Linked DNA regions of Drosophila melanogaster. The protein of the gene in region 1 interacts with the protein of each later gene in a biochemical or structural test. Each region holds a gene or a part of one and is shown on either strand. Other genes may lie near its edges. The genes, in order: DIP-gamma and dpr16.

What was found.
Region 2: the proteins of DIP-gamma (region 1) and dpr16 form a complex in vitro, tested with the Drosophila melanogaster proteins (one study listed by BioGRID).

What each region holds. Positions count from the first base shown.
Region 1 is NT_033777.3:28,966,080-28,972,932, forward strand, and holds the start of DIP-gamma (Dpr-interacting protein gamma), read right to left. Parts: upstream 4,294-6,853; 5' UTR 3,252-4,293; intron 1-3,251.
Region 2 is NT_033777.3:5,147,894-5,155,045, forward strand, and holds the start of dpr16 (defective proboscis extension response 16), read left to right. Parts: upstream 1-3,014; 5' UTR 3,015-3,393; intron 3,394-5,629; 5' UTR 5,630-6,038; coding exon 6,039-6,204; intron 6,205-7,152.

The DNA.
Region 1 (6,853 bases):
AGGGGCAGAATTTCCTGTGGCCATTTGACGCTTTTGTTGTTTTTGGCCAGCGGTATTATAAATCTTGCCCGCAATGTAGAAAGCGATCAGATCCTTGCTCCTTCTCCGCCTCCTTTTCGTGACCCCACCATCCACAGCTCGTCGCATCCAAAAACAATGGCTTGGAACCCTATTAGCGTAGAGCCACCCCCCTTGGCAGAAGATTCTCCACAGGAGTGTGTGGAGTTTTCAGGGGTCCGGCCATAAATTGCAACCGCCAGGTGAGCGGTAAGTGGGTGCGGTTTCAGGTGTTGCGAGGGGGCTAATGGGTCACTACTTGATGTATCACACAAACAGACACAAATGATATTTATGCTGCCGCAGTTGCTCCTTCACCAGCTCCATCTTCAGCTTCTCCAGCTCCTTGGGCTTCGGCGGAGGAGCCCGTGAGGCTTCTCACGGCCAGAAGCCGCGCTCTGCTTGGTGTAATAAAAACTAAAATCCGCACAACAATATGTGCGAGGATAATGCCATTTCCGTTTTATGGGATATCCTGTTAGTCCTCCCCCAACCCGCGTGCGAGAGAGTGTGTGTGTGTGAGCTTTCGCATGTGCGAGGCTTCCTCAAGGAGCCCCAAATCTGAGCGAACGAGTTACGACTACACCGGGCAAAAATGAAGAAGCCTGGAGGAGGACTGAAGGAGCTATTGCGGTGGCCATTTCAGTGATGGGTTGCGATAGGATTCGCAGAACGTAAAGGCCACGGTGGCATGCGTGCGAGTCGGGAATGAATGGATCAGGGATCAAATTTTATGGATTGCCCTGGCGCATACTATACTATACATACATTTGTGTGCACTCACATGATAATGAAGTCAGAAGTAAGGAATAAATTCCACAAATTTCATTAGCCTGAAAAGTGGGAGTCACTGGGAATTTAAAGTGCGGGGATCCGATAACAAAGGATTGGGGATTGGGAAATTATTGGAATTCGGATGCTGGCAAGGTTAAGTGAAAGATTTTCCTCCCAGCCTTGAACCAAATTAATTTATTAAGTCGACAATAAATCGTTGATAAATGGCAGCCCAAAGGCATTTTAAAGCTCACATTCACAAATCGTATTGTGCAAGCGCAATGAAATTTAAGCTCAAGTGATTTTAGCAAACGGCAGCTGCACGTAATGAAATTTAAGTAAATACTTCCGAGGTGAAATACTAATCAATTAAAATAACTTATCAAAACTGAAGCGAGTAAAGAAACCCCCCCCCCCTACATAGCATTCCCATCGCGGACTAACAATCAGCTAATCTGTCTTACATATTTCCATATCGCCTCGGCTTCAGCATGGATTACGATGGTTATTCATTAGACGCATTCCTGGACGCCCTTGGCCAACAACTGGGACGCTTGCTGCGGTTTGCCGCAGGACTTTCGTCCTTCTTCTTGCTACCCCTGCCCCAGACAACTCAACTATTACCTCTCTCTTTCTGAGCCATAACTAGGCAAACCTTTTTTGCTCAGTGTGTGTGCGGAACGGCAGAGGAAAAACAAACGTCCGACTGCCGGGAAAATCTGTATAAGTGTGTGTGTGTGTGTGTGTGTGAAGTAAAAAAGCGCAACCGGAGAGGAGACGGATGGACAGCAGGAGGAAGAGAGAGGGGCGTTGGGCGATGGCAGGGCTGGAAGCGGAAAGCCGGAGAGTAAGAAAAACCATAACTAAATCCATTGCCATAGGAAAATCCAAAGCAAAGTCTGCGATGCAAATAGTAGAGATTATGGGACTGCAGATGTATGAAGAACGAGATGGAGCTGAATGTGAAACCCAAGGCGCGGCTGAGAAGGACCCAAAAGGGATCCAGGGAGGACGGAGGACGAAGGTCCCCGGCAGAAGGTGTTATGTGTACGTGTGTACGAGTGTATGAGGCACAATAAATCTTGCAAGGGTGCCGAATGGCCGGGCAAGGGGCCGGAGGCCTCAGGTCCTGAGTCCTGGATCCTGAATCCTGGGCATTGGCATGGATCTGAGACGGGACTTTGGCCTCCATTCTCTACGTCCCTGCTCCTCCTGGGCAGACCCACTGCCACCCAGTGCGCGCACGCCCCGTCAGTGAAAACCAAAACCAAATAAAACTGACATTATGCGAAAAGCGAAAGCCATAACTAAAAGTTGGATAACGTGGCCATGATGGAGCCGAAGTGGAGTGGGCAAGAAATCCGGAGCTGAAACAGCCGTAAAGTTGATACTAAACCAAAGAGCAGAGCTGGCAAAGCTAAAACAAATCGGAGATGCTATTGTCACGAGCTCTGGACGCGCAGGTGCCCTCATTTTAGTGATAGTGTGTAAAATAAATTATAGAAAATTATTGAAAAAATACTACTACTACAGAGTTACCAAACTAGTAAAGCAACCAACGATTTTTTCCGAAATCGGGTCAAGAATTAAAACTATTCCTTGCAATTTACATCAAATGCTAACAAGACTTTCTGGAAATGACTAGTAGTTTTATTTGGCAGTGTCATTAAACTGAGTTTTTCAGCTGTGCGAAAGTTCTTGTCTTCAGGTCTTAAAATATCGTTAAATTTTAATTTTTAAAGCAAACTTCTTTTGCCTAACTAAAATTGTTATAAGATATAGTTGGATTTAAACATTGGTGCCATTTTTATTTTGCAATTTTCAATTAATTGGTACTTAATTAGTACTCCAAGTACCTTATGAATATTACATTTTGCAATTGCTTAAAAAAATGTTAAAAGCATTTCCCGACCATTCGAAATGACATTAGGATATCATTCTAATTGCTGCCCCGGATAAACTTGATTCACTCCAACAGGTTTCAATTTGAACATCCTAGAAGCTCCTTATTGGATCATTAAATCAAGAGCGACTGAGCTGACCTAAAAAACTGAGAGGGCTTAAATGCTGCTAAGCGAACTGAGTTTGTTCCTTAATCGCCATCAGGACCAGCCAGAACCTCCCAGGACCACCCAAAAGGTAAATCCACGGCCCTGAGCTCGCGAATCCAAGCCACCTCGGGAGTGCACCACAATGGATTTGCCACAGCCCAACTCCATGGCACGAGCTGAATATTCTCCGATTTTACCCTTTCTGGGCGCTGGGCGCAAAATGTTGGTGGGGATACAGATATCGGGTATGAAAAACAGAAACAGGAAAATAGAAATGATAGCAAAGTTGCAAAGCGATGCGGTGCGGGCGGGCGGTCTGAAGGGGTTGCTGAAACGGAAATCGACTTTGGTAAGGAGTTTTTCTCGTACCTGTGAATCGGAATCTGAACGCTGGAGCTGCACCGAAGTTATGCAAATGTAAAGTTGTTCGTGCCTGCTCCTGGCTGCTGAATCCTGCCGCAGGATCTGGCACCTCCTTCTGCTCCTGCCGCTGCTCCAACTCCCGCTGTCAATCGAAGGCGATGTCGCGAGTGCTAATGACGTTTGCTTTGATTGCGCCCCGCATGCGAATCCAAATCTGAGCCACAACTCACAACTGTCATTTTCGCAAGGATACTCGCATATGTACGTATGTGCGATGAGTATGTAGAATAGGATGGGTTCTTGAGTGTCTATCTCAGCTGGTACTCGCAGCTCAGCTCAGCTCCTCACCGGAACTCTATTTATTTAATTTGCATGCAATTTTCAATTTTTATGCGGAATACTTGGCATTGACAGCAAACGATGCGCACATTTCGCATCGGCAATGCACAATAGAAATTGAATTGCAAAAATTTGTTTGCCCGTCCAGGGCAGCAGGCAAATGGATTGCGAACACAGTGGAATAGCGGATTTTGAGGGCTCTTCACGTCTTCACGCCAATGTCACAAGGAGCCGCATTCAAGGAGCCAGCGCGAGAGCTGAACGAGTCGAAGAAATCGCACAATTTGGCGGCGAAGATGTCAAGTATACGCCGCGTTGCCAGTGCCACACTGACTGCAATTACAATGGTGGCCAACAACAAAGACGGTATGCCGGTACGCCACACACACAGACACACAGAGGCATACACGGGCACATACGACACACGGAGTTGAAGCCACAAATACGTACGCTCCGCTCCGCAGGATCCGGAGGAGAAGTCTGAGGCGAAGACAGGCGACAGATCCTGGTATTGCCCCGTCGACAGTGTGCGAAATAAATGCACGCGCACACACACGTTCACGAAAAAATCCCGCGAAATTTGGCGACAAAAACCAAAACAAAACAACAACTTCGTGCGCTTGGGATCACGATGAATGTTCGATGCGAAATGCACAAATGCAGCTGCTCTCCACCACCGAACGCTCCGAAACTGAATTCGCAACTGAGCCAGCATGAAAAAGGATGCTGCCATCTGGAGCCGAAACGGCTGGACGCACGAAGGATGCCGACGAGCGGCACGATGACGCGGATGCTTCGGATGCTGGCTCGCAGAGCTTTTTTGGCGAGAGAGCGAGAGGAACTGGCATTGGCGACGTGTGACTTCGTTAAATTTCTGCGGCGACAGCACACAAAACGGATTCGGAAGCGGAAGTAGCAAGTAAGCGAGCAAGGAGCGCTCTGTGGCCATGTCTGGGTGTGTGTGTGTGTGTGTGTGTGGGTGTGCCTCTGTGTGTGTGTGTGGATGGGCGCGCTGAGTGGGTGGAGTGGCGCTGAAGTGGGCGAAGTAGCGCCAAGTGGCTGGCTAAAGTCGACTCGCGGAGCACGACCAGAATGGAAGTTTTGTGTTTGTGTTTTGCAATGCCAACTAAACACACATTCAGCTCCATACACACACACATATGTATGTCTATACATATATTATAAGTCAAACATACCTACGCCGTGGCATCAATATTCACATTCGCACTTGTGCGAGTATTTTCTGATTTGCTGCAATCGCGTTTGCCAACAACGAACTTGGCTAACAACAACAGCTGCCGGAGTCACAGTCGCAATCGTAGTGGGGTATTTTCCAGCGGATGTTTGGTAAATCTTTGGCGCCGGATACCAGCGCTGTCTTCCCCGGAGTCGCAATCCCGCCCCCTTAGATCACCACCCCTCGCGGGACACGCTTATACTCTTTTCATATCTTTCTTGCTCTTACACATGAAGGAACTTTGAAAAAACAATGTAAAAGTATACAAATTTATATGAAAACCTTTATTTAAAATTTTTTACTAAAAAAGGCATTTCATTTATTATCTCATATGCAAGGTATTTCAGTTTAAATATTACATTCATTTTATTTGAAAATATTCTTTTAATAATAGCGTTCATCATTATTCCTATAAAAAAAATTGTATTTTGTAAAAACTTGGACATTTTGCTCAGTGTACTAGCTTACACCCAGGGGTATGTATGTGTTGGTATCGATAACTAATAAAAGCATTACATTTATGTTAGAGTCAAGCGCCGTGGCCCCTTATTTTCCCCCCACTTCTGTTTCGTCCTGAGCAATAATTCAGTTTCCATTTCTCTGTTTTCTTCAGTTTCTCATTTTCATTTTGCAGCCAGTGCATGTGTGCCTCGGCACTCCTCTCACCCTCTCCGTTTTCCCAACACTTTTGCCACAGTCATGGCCAACTAATTGGAAACAGTAGCCAGCTGCGCTTTCTTGGCCCATTTTGTTGCTGCAGCGGCTTGGAGAGCTGGATCCTGGTGTCTCGTTTAGTTGCCAATTGCTTAGTTGATTTTCATTGTCTGCCCTTTGGGCCACACTCACAGGTGGCTAACAGGGCGATGGTATGGGTGGAAAATGTAGGGGTTTTTCCGCTGTATTGGCTTGTAAGTGAAACGATAAACGCTGTAGCTCGCTGTCATTAATTGGCTGCCGGTTGATGTTTATGTCGTTAGCTCTTCGTTACTGCAAAGAGGGAAAAGCGGATGGGACGTTTAATAATCTCATCGCATTCAGCTGGGTTTTCACTGATTTTCCTGATCTTCTTCAGCCGCTTTTAGCTTGATATTCAATTAACTTTTGCAGGACAAATCTAGGCGGGATCTGTTAGGGACAGCCAGGCAGAATGTTAATTAATAACGTTTATGCTCGTATCTGAGTATCTGTGTATCTGGGCATCTGGGTATCTGGTTACTGCACACTGGTTACTGGGGTATCTGGCTGATCTGGTGCTGTGCTAATGCTTAGGCCGGGCCAAAAGAACTATTCTCCATTTCCTCGCCTCAAACGGCTTCCGTCTGATCCTGAGAGCCATGTCTTCGTCTGCAGCCGTTCGTCCTTCGAGCTGTTTTTGTCAGGCTGCTGCTTCTGTTGCTGCTGCTGCGTTCACCTGCCAGCGAGGGCGAAAAGAAAATATCCGGTTTTCAACCGCAAACTGCACTTTTCTACCCATTGTGCCTGGCTCCATTCGTTATCCTGCCACTGCTCCTGCTGAGTGGCCCCATCCCAAGCCCACACAGACGGAGCAAAGGACACGGACACGGACAGACACACGTTCGGGACATTGAATTTGTTTTGGGTTTTGATTTTTCGATTTCAGATTGCACGTTTGAATGGCCAGGACCAGGACCAGAGCAGACCAGGAACAAAATCAGAATCACAACCAGAATCAGATTCGGGAGCTTGTTAGAAGGACCGAAGAGCGAAGCAAGGAAACGGGTGCCGACCCAAGTCCGACAAATTCAAGTCTGAAGTGTTGACTGCCACATTTATCGCAGCTGCATCTGCAGCCACATGAAAATATTCGAATTGATTGCAAAGTGCTGGCTGGCCATTCAATAAACTAATTAAATACAAGTGGCGTATAATTAATTTGCTGTCGAGCACCGATTTCTTGGGGATATCCGGGGAATTGAATTTTTGTTTATGCCCATCCTTAACTAATTAAATTCACCAGCCTGCAGAGTGGGAGCTGCTTTTGCCTTTGCCTTCTAGTCTCAGCATTGTAGAT
Region 2 (7,152 bases), about 24 Mb from region 1:
GCAACGCGACCTATTTAAAGTGCTTTTAATGACGGCGCGGGTCGTTGCGAAGTGAGTCACTGACTTGGCGTAAGCAGCCGACAATCAAACAGAACATGATCCAGACATATAGTGCATATATCATCAGGGGTTTGCAGAAGGAGCTGAGCTGCAGCTTCAGCACAACAGTTGCTCCTTTCAATTTCCCCCCTCTTGGGGCTTTATTTTTTAATGGCTCCTGCTGCCGCCTCGGTTGAGCATCCATTGAGTCATTGTATCTACCTTGTAATATGAAAATCGCTTTGGCAAAACTTCATGATTGTTGCCTGCGCAAAATACGCTTTCCTTTTAACTGCGCACCATGATTTCTGGATTTATTTCAATCAATCAGATCACCAAGATGAATATCAGAAATAACAGAAATTCTTCTCTCTGATGAGAACATATGAACGTCCTGATCTTACGCAAATCTGCATATGTTCGTCGACTATATATAAATAATTTTTGGTTACTGCTTCAGAATCTTAAATTATAATTTTTGGATCCCATGCACAGTGCCCTCAGAGTTGCAAAAAAAAAATTAATAATGCTTTGCTAAATTAAATTGCCCGCTAGCTTTTCAGCTTACGTAATGTGCTTCTTAGTGGCTCGAAAAACATTCGATCTAGAGGACATACTGGATTACTGGATTGGCAATACCCTTTGTGAAGGTATGCAAAACCTCTTTGTTGGCTTAAGTTTCTCCGTCTGCCATTTCAGCCTTTGTTTTGTGATGCCAATAAAACATGCATTTCACTTTCAACCCAACCGTTGGCAAACAATGGCGAACGGTGGGATCCCAGGGGCGGGGCAGGACGTATCACAAAAATATCCTTCCCATCGCAACGCGACGATCCTTTGTGCAGCGTGCACTCAATTATTTGGTCGTTACTTGTTTCTTATTACCTTTCGCCCACCGACACTACGAAACATAATAACTGCGGCCCAAGAGGCGAAGATATGGCTTTGTTTGTTCAGGCCGGCAATACAATCGAGTTGCGGAATTGCGGAAATAAATGCGAATTTAATATGCAAAGGAATCGGAAGAAGCCAGCCCGAGATTGCTCGACGAATATCAGTTTAAGGTTACTAGGCAAAACGATTGCGCCACGTATAGGGCGAGAATAAAATGGAAAAAATTGAGTACTTGTTAATACTCAAAGAAGGTTATTCAGTTTTCGGCATAGCTCAATTCTTTTATTGAAAAATATTAATTAATTCACCAACCAAAAATCTGATCGAGAATATATAATCTTTTTTGGGTCGAAAACGCATACTAGGAGCGATTAATTTTCAACGAATTTAGTATACCCTTTAACTCTACAAATGTCAAGTAGAAAAAGCATACATAATATACAACAATATTTCACTTGATAAATTTTACGAGCGAATCTAAAAGCTTGTCAAGAATCATTAAGTTTCGGTGATGCACAAAGGATTGTTCTATATAACACGGTCAATGATATCAAACAAATATATTCCCTACATCTTTGTTTATTTGTGAAGAAAAATGTGGATTTGCAAGCATTGAGTTTTCAATAAAAATCTATTAAATGTAATGTATTAAAATGTATCGTATACATTAATATACAACCAATTTTTTTGAGTTTATTTATTTATTTATTTATTTACTTATTTATTTATTTATTTATTTATTTATTTATTTATTTATTTATTTATTTATTTATTTATTTATTTATTTATTTATTTATTTATTTATTTATTTATTTATTTATTTATTTATTTATTTATTTATTTATTTATTTATTTATTTATTTATTTATTTATTTATTTATTTATTTATTTATTTATTTATTTATTTATTTATTTATTTATTTATTTATTTATTTATTTATTTATTTATTTATTTATTTATTTATTTATTTATTTATTTATTTATTTATTTATTTATTTATTTATTTATTTATTTATTTATTTATTTATTTATTTATTTATTTATTTATTTATTTATTTATTTATTTATTTATTTATTTATTTATTTATTTATTTATTTATTTATTTATTTATTTATTTATTTATTTATTTATTTATTTATTTATTTATTTATTTATTTATTCATTTATTTATTTATTTATTTATTTATTTCCTATTTTATGTGAATTATTCATTAATTTATTTACATATTTATTTATTTATTAATTTATGTGTTTCTTTATTTATTTATTATTTTATAATTTTGTATTTTATTATTTTATTATTTTATTATTTTACTATTTTACTATTTTACTATTTTACTATTTTACTATTTTACTATTTTACTATTTTATTATTTTTTTATTTTATTATTTTATTACTTTTACTTTTTTTATTATATTATTTATTTATTTATTTATTATTTTATTTTATTTTTTTATATTTATTTATTTAATTATTTTTTATTAAATTAATTATTTTATTTATTTGTTCATTTATTTACTTATTTATTTATTTATTTACTTTTTATTTACTTTTTTATTTATTTATTTACTTATTTTTTTATATATTTAAATATTTATTTATTTATTTTTTATTTTATTTATTTTTTTATGAGTTTATATTATTTATTGTGGCCACAAGCCTCTGTTCGTGAGTAAAAGCCAGTAAATACTGGTTTTAACTGCCTGTTGATTCGAAACGGTTAACAGAATCCCTTAACAGTAGACTGAGAACAGCGACCAAACTCGCACATCGTCCTTGCATGGGGAACTCCAAGCAAGCAACAGTAGACATGTGGGAATAGGTGCACAGGGGAAGATGGAATACACTGTAAATCGGAACGAACGAATCGCGAAGAACGAAACGCTGTGAATCAGAATCAGGAGGGGAAAATCACCCCAGTTGAAACGGACCTATTCCCATTCCCACATTGTCCTTCGTCGTGGCAACAGAAGGGGAACATGGGAACACTGGTAATCGGGACCTTGCGGGACGGTACGAACGAATCAGGAGGGGTAAATCATCCCAGTGGATAAAATGGACCAAACCATTTGGCACAGGCACACTTTGAATCGAATCGCGAAATGGTCCGGATTCAGTTTCAAATTTGCATGGCATAGCGGCGGACGTAGAGCGGGAACAAAGCGCAAATTTCGGAAATCATTAATAAGGAAGCATACGTTTGAATTATTCGCGGCGCGCGATTGTGGGTCTCGAAAGTGAATGCACTTGGCACCTCCGCACCCAAAATCGGATTCTCGAACGGATTCTGATTTATCGCCGGCCGGTCTTTCATTGTGCGTATCTGTGCCAACCAGAATGTGGGCGTGTCCGCCTCCGCCCCCGCCGCGCCACAGAGTAAAGTGTCGCGAAGTGAAGTGCGAGAATGCCCGCCCTCGATTTCCGCAAGAGTGCTGTGAAATCCTGTGAGCTACGATTGTGAGTGCAATGTGTCTTTTGTAAATCAAGGAAAATCACATTTTAAATTGCTGCGCATTAGAACGGATACAGATACAGATACAAAGGCAGGGCCACAAGGAGGCAGCCAGGCAAGATCGAAAGTCAAACGCCGTCAAACGTTGATTGCGTCGTCGGCGTCGTCGACTACCAACGAAGCGTGGGAAATGAAAAGAACGGAGGACGACGTGAAGGATTTGACTGATGTGAATGGAGTGAAAGATGTGACCTGGCCGGGGTCCCACCCCTTCCCTCTGAGGCTGGCACGTGCTATTGTCTGCCCCCATCTATTTCAATTTGATTATATTGAAGAGCATATGATGTAATATATGGAAATGTAATCTGATTAGAGGCTGGCTAAGCTGAGCCCCACCCTGGAATCGTGCTGCTTCATGGATTTAAAAACTCATTAATGTGCAAAGACGTTAGTCCTCGCATCTTTGGTATCATTAGACGGGCAGGCAGAAGGTGGAAAACCAGAGCTGTATGGGTGGAGTCAGCCAGGCTGCTGGCAAATCAATAGTCGTCGAGGTGTTGAAACAGGTGCCAGTATTGGCCAAGAAACTGGATAGCTGTTCCAAAAAAACTGAAAAAAAACATTGAAAACGCGAAAAGGATTTTGTGCTTGCCAGCGCGCAGAAATTCGGCAATAGTATCAAGTATCACGAGGTGAAATATCAACAATTCTCAGGCATTTCTCTAGAAATTCAGATATCAAGTGTGTGAAAGAAGAGAACACTTTACTTCAAATAAAGACAGTTTTAGTACAGTTTGAATGACAAGTGCAAAGAAGTGGGAGAGCCAGGTGCCTCAGTATTTCAGAAAGTCATCAATATCCTCGTATTATTTCGGATTAAAAAACCACAAAATAAAGAATTTATAAACGGCCTTCAATCTTTAGGTTTGGAATTTGTGGCTTGTGATAGTATATTTTTTTTAACTTATGTTTTGGTGGGTAGAGAATATTGCACAGTCTATAAATTTGTATTGTTGTGTTTCATTGAGTAAATAAATGGCTTAGTATCTCAGTTCGGTCGAAAAAGCAGCTTAAAATTTGGCACACGGTGGCAAGTTTAATTATTTAAACAAATTTATTTACTTACACATGCAAAGAAATTTGTTCAAATTATATTTATATTTTCTGAAGGATTTTTAACGCCCCAATTGCACTTCAATTAGCCTAGCAAAAACAAAAAGAAACCGAAGCATAAGCGGATAAAGTGCCATAGTTATTCCCAGGAAGCGGTGGGGAAATTGAGAAAGGATCCCGACGTTTAACCTAGCAGCTGTAAATATATTTTGCAGATAGTTTCCTAAGCAGCTTTGCATTAAATGTATCTAAAAGATTTCGCATAGTTCACCACTCAGCTTAGCCTGTGCACCTCCGTTAGAATTATTGGTTGAGTAATCTTGCCCACTGCTCATATATTTCATTTCTATCCCGTGGAATATATTGTGATTTATACATACTCAATCCTCTTCGAAAGCATTATGATTTTTTGTCCGCTAAACTATAAACCATCATTGTGTGCAGCCAAATATATATGTGAAATGAATAAATAAAGTTATTTCAGTAGAAAAGTATTGCTGTTCGCCAACATGATTACTTGCATTTGCCCCTAATCTCCGTCTGTCCGTTGGTGAATTAGGGAAATCTCGCAAGTTAATGGGACTTGGTAGAAAAATAAATATCAATTTGTTGCTTAGCTACCCTAATTACACGATGGCAAGCATCGCAGGACATCCTTCTAATCTGGCCGTGTTATGGAGTGCAATAATGCATTAGGAGTTCCCATTTTTTGCAATTTGGGGACTTCGATTCGGCAGCTCGGGAAACTCTGAGCCGGATAAATGGGGCTCTGGCATTCATTTAGAGGAGTCGACACAGTTTTGTGGGCCAAACGACTATTTGGCCAACAAAAAATAACGAGCAAGCCATTAAAAATTTGCCAAACTCAGCAGAAGTGGAGGAACTAGAACTAATGGAGGGCGCAAAGGGAAGAGCACTGGGCTGGGGTCATGCAATTCATTAATTTATTGACTTATAATCAAGCCAGGCCGAAACTTACGCCCAGAGCCAGAGCCGGATAAATATCCATTTATCACATAAATAGAATGCTAACAGCAGTGAATCCTGCTGGTTTTCTCCTTGCTGCTCTCCACGCTCCTCGGACCAGACTTATATTTTGTTTTTTTTTTTTCCTTTTTGCCGTTCTAGCCTGGCTGCTGCGGTTGGCCTGCCAAATAAAGCAAGAAATAAGTTAAAACATACGTTCTGTGCGGTCTGACTCGGTGGAATAGAAGAAATCCTGGCCAACTGGCGGAGCAGCCCAGTCACGTCCGCACCACCACAACTACTGCTCCTCCGGCACAGTGCGGTATGCAAATTCAACCGAGAAGACTTCATAAAAGCAATGCAAATAATTAAATAACAACGCGGAGCAAACAGCACGCAGCAGCATGACATGCTACTTGAGTCGGCGAAACTTGGATTAACTAGCTGTGCGAAATAAATACGAAATACGAAATACGAAATACCAAGCACCAAACCAAATACGAAATCTGAACGTTAATCCCAAACCAATCCCAGCTCCGTTCCGCCCAGGTGCGACATCCGACAGTTGCCGATGCCCTCGCCCAGCGGAATGTCCTGGCGGCAGAGGGAGCGCGGCGCAGGAGGAACTCCAGGTGGACGAGGGGCAGGCATCCTGGCCGGGAGCGGGAGGAGTCCGGGAACTGCCAGCATACTGCTGGCGTTTCTGGCAGCTGTCAGCTTTCGTGGCATGCGAGCGCGTAAGTGTAAACTTCTTTTACTTGGGGTGATGCCGACACGACATTCCGGGCTACACTTCTACGCACGGATTTTGTGGAAAGTTTTGGGTGAATTTTGTTCTAGGATGAAACATCTATTAAGTACTTAGAAATAAATAAGTAAAAACATTGTATAAGTTTTATAATATAATAATAATAAGAGCATTTAATAGATAGCTATCTGATCATGCGTTTTTGACTTATGCTTTTCATGCTTCCAAATAAATTTGTTTTGTTTTCAAGGAAGTAATTGTAGTCAGATTCCAACTTCGAGGCCAATCATAGGGCCGTTAGCACTTTAACACCCCAAATCGATGTTATGAAACATCTGAATACCCGCCGTTAGGCAACCAATTGTGCAACTAGCAACTAGTCCGAATCGCTTGATCCCGTTGGCTTTCGCGTCCGCGGGAAAATCGCTTACAGGAACGCCCTGGAGAACTTTTGTTTACCATGGGAGTCCGTTCCAAATCCCAGATACTGAGCACTGAGCACCGAACACCGAATCCCTGCACCCCTGTCCAACTTTTGGCTACGTGCTCAGCTCCATTCCGAACTGCTAAGTTGGGTTGGGATGGGTCGAGTTGAGTTCCAAGTTTCATGGCTCTGCTGCTCCGTGTGGCGCTAAGCTTTTGTTTTTGCATGCATAGTTAATTCAATTTCGCACATTTTTGCGCAAGTGTCGAGTGAAGCGTTTGCCAAATTTAATTTACATGATGAGATTTGCTTGGCTGCATTGTCGTTGGCAACTCGTTGGCACGATTTTTATAAGCTTGTCGAGTTAATTTAATCGTGCAGTGCAAATTTTCATTTAGTCGAGCTCACACACGCGCTCCCATGATTGTCAGACACCTGTCACGCGAAAGGAAATCTCGCATTCGTATTCGCTTTCGGTGCCAGCAACTCATTACGCATACGCAGCGTGTGAAG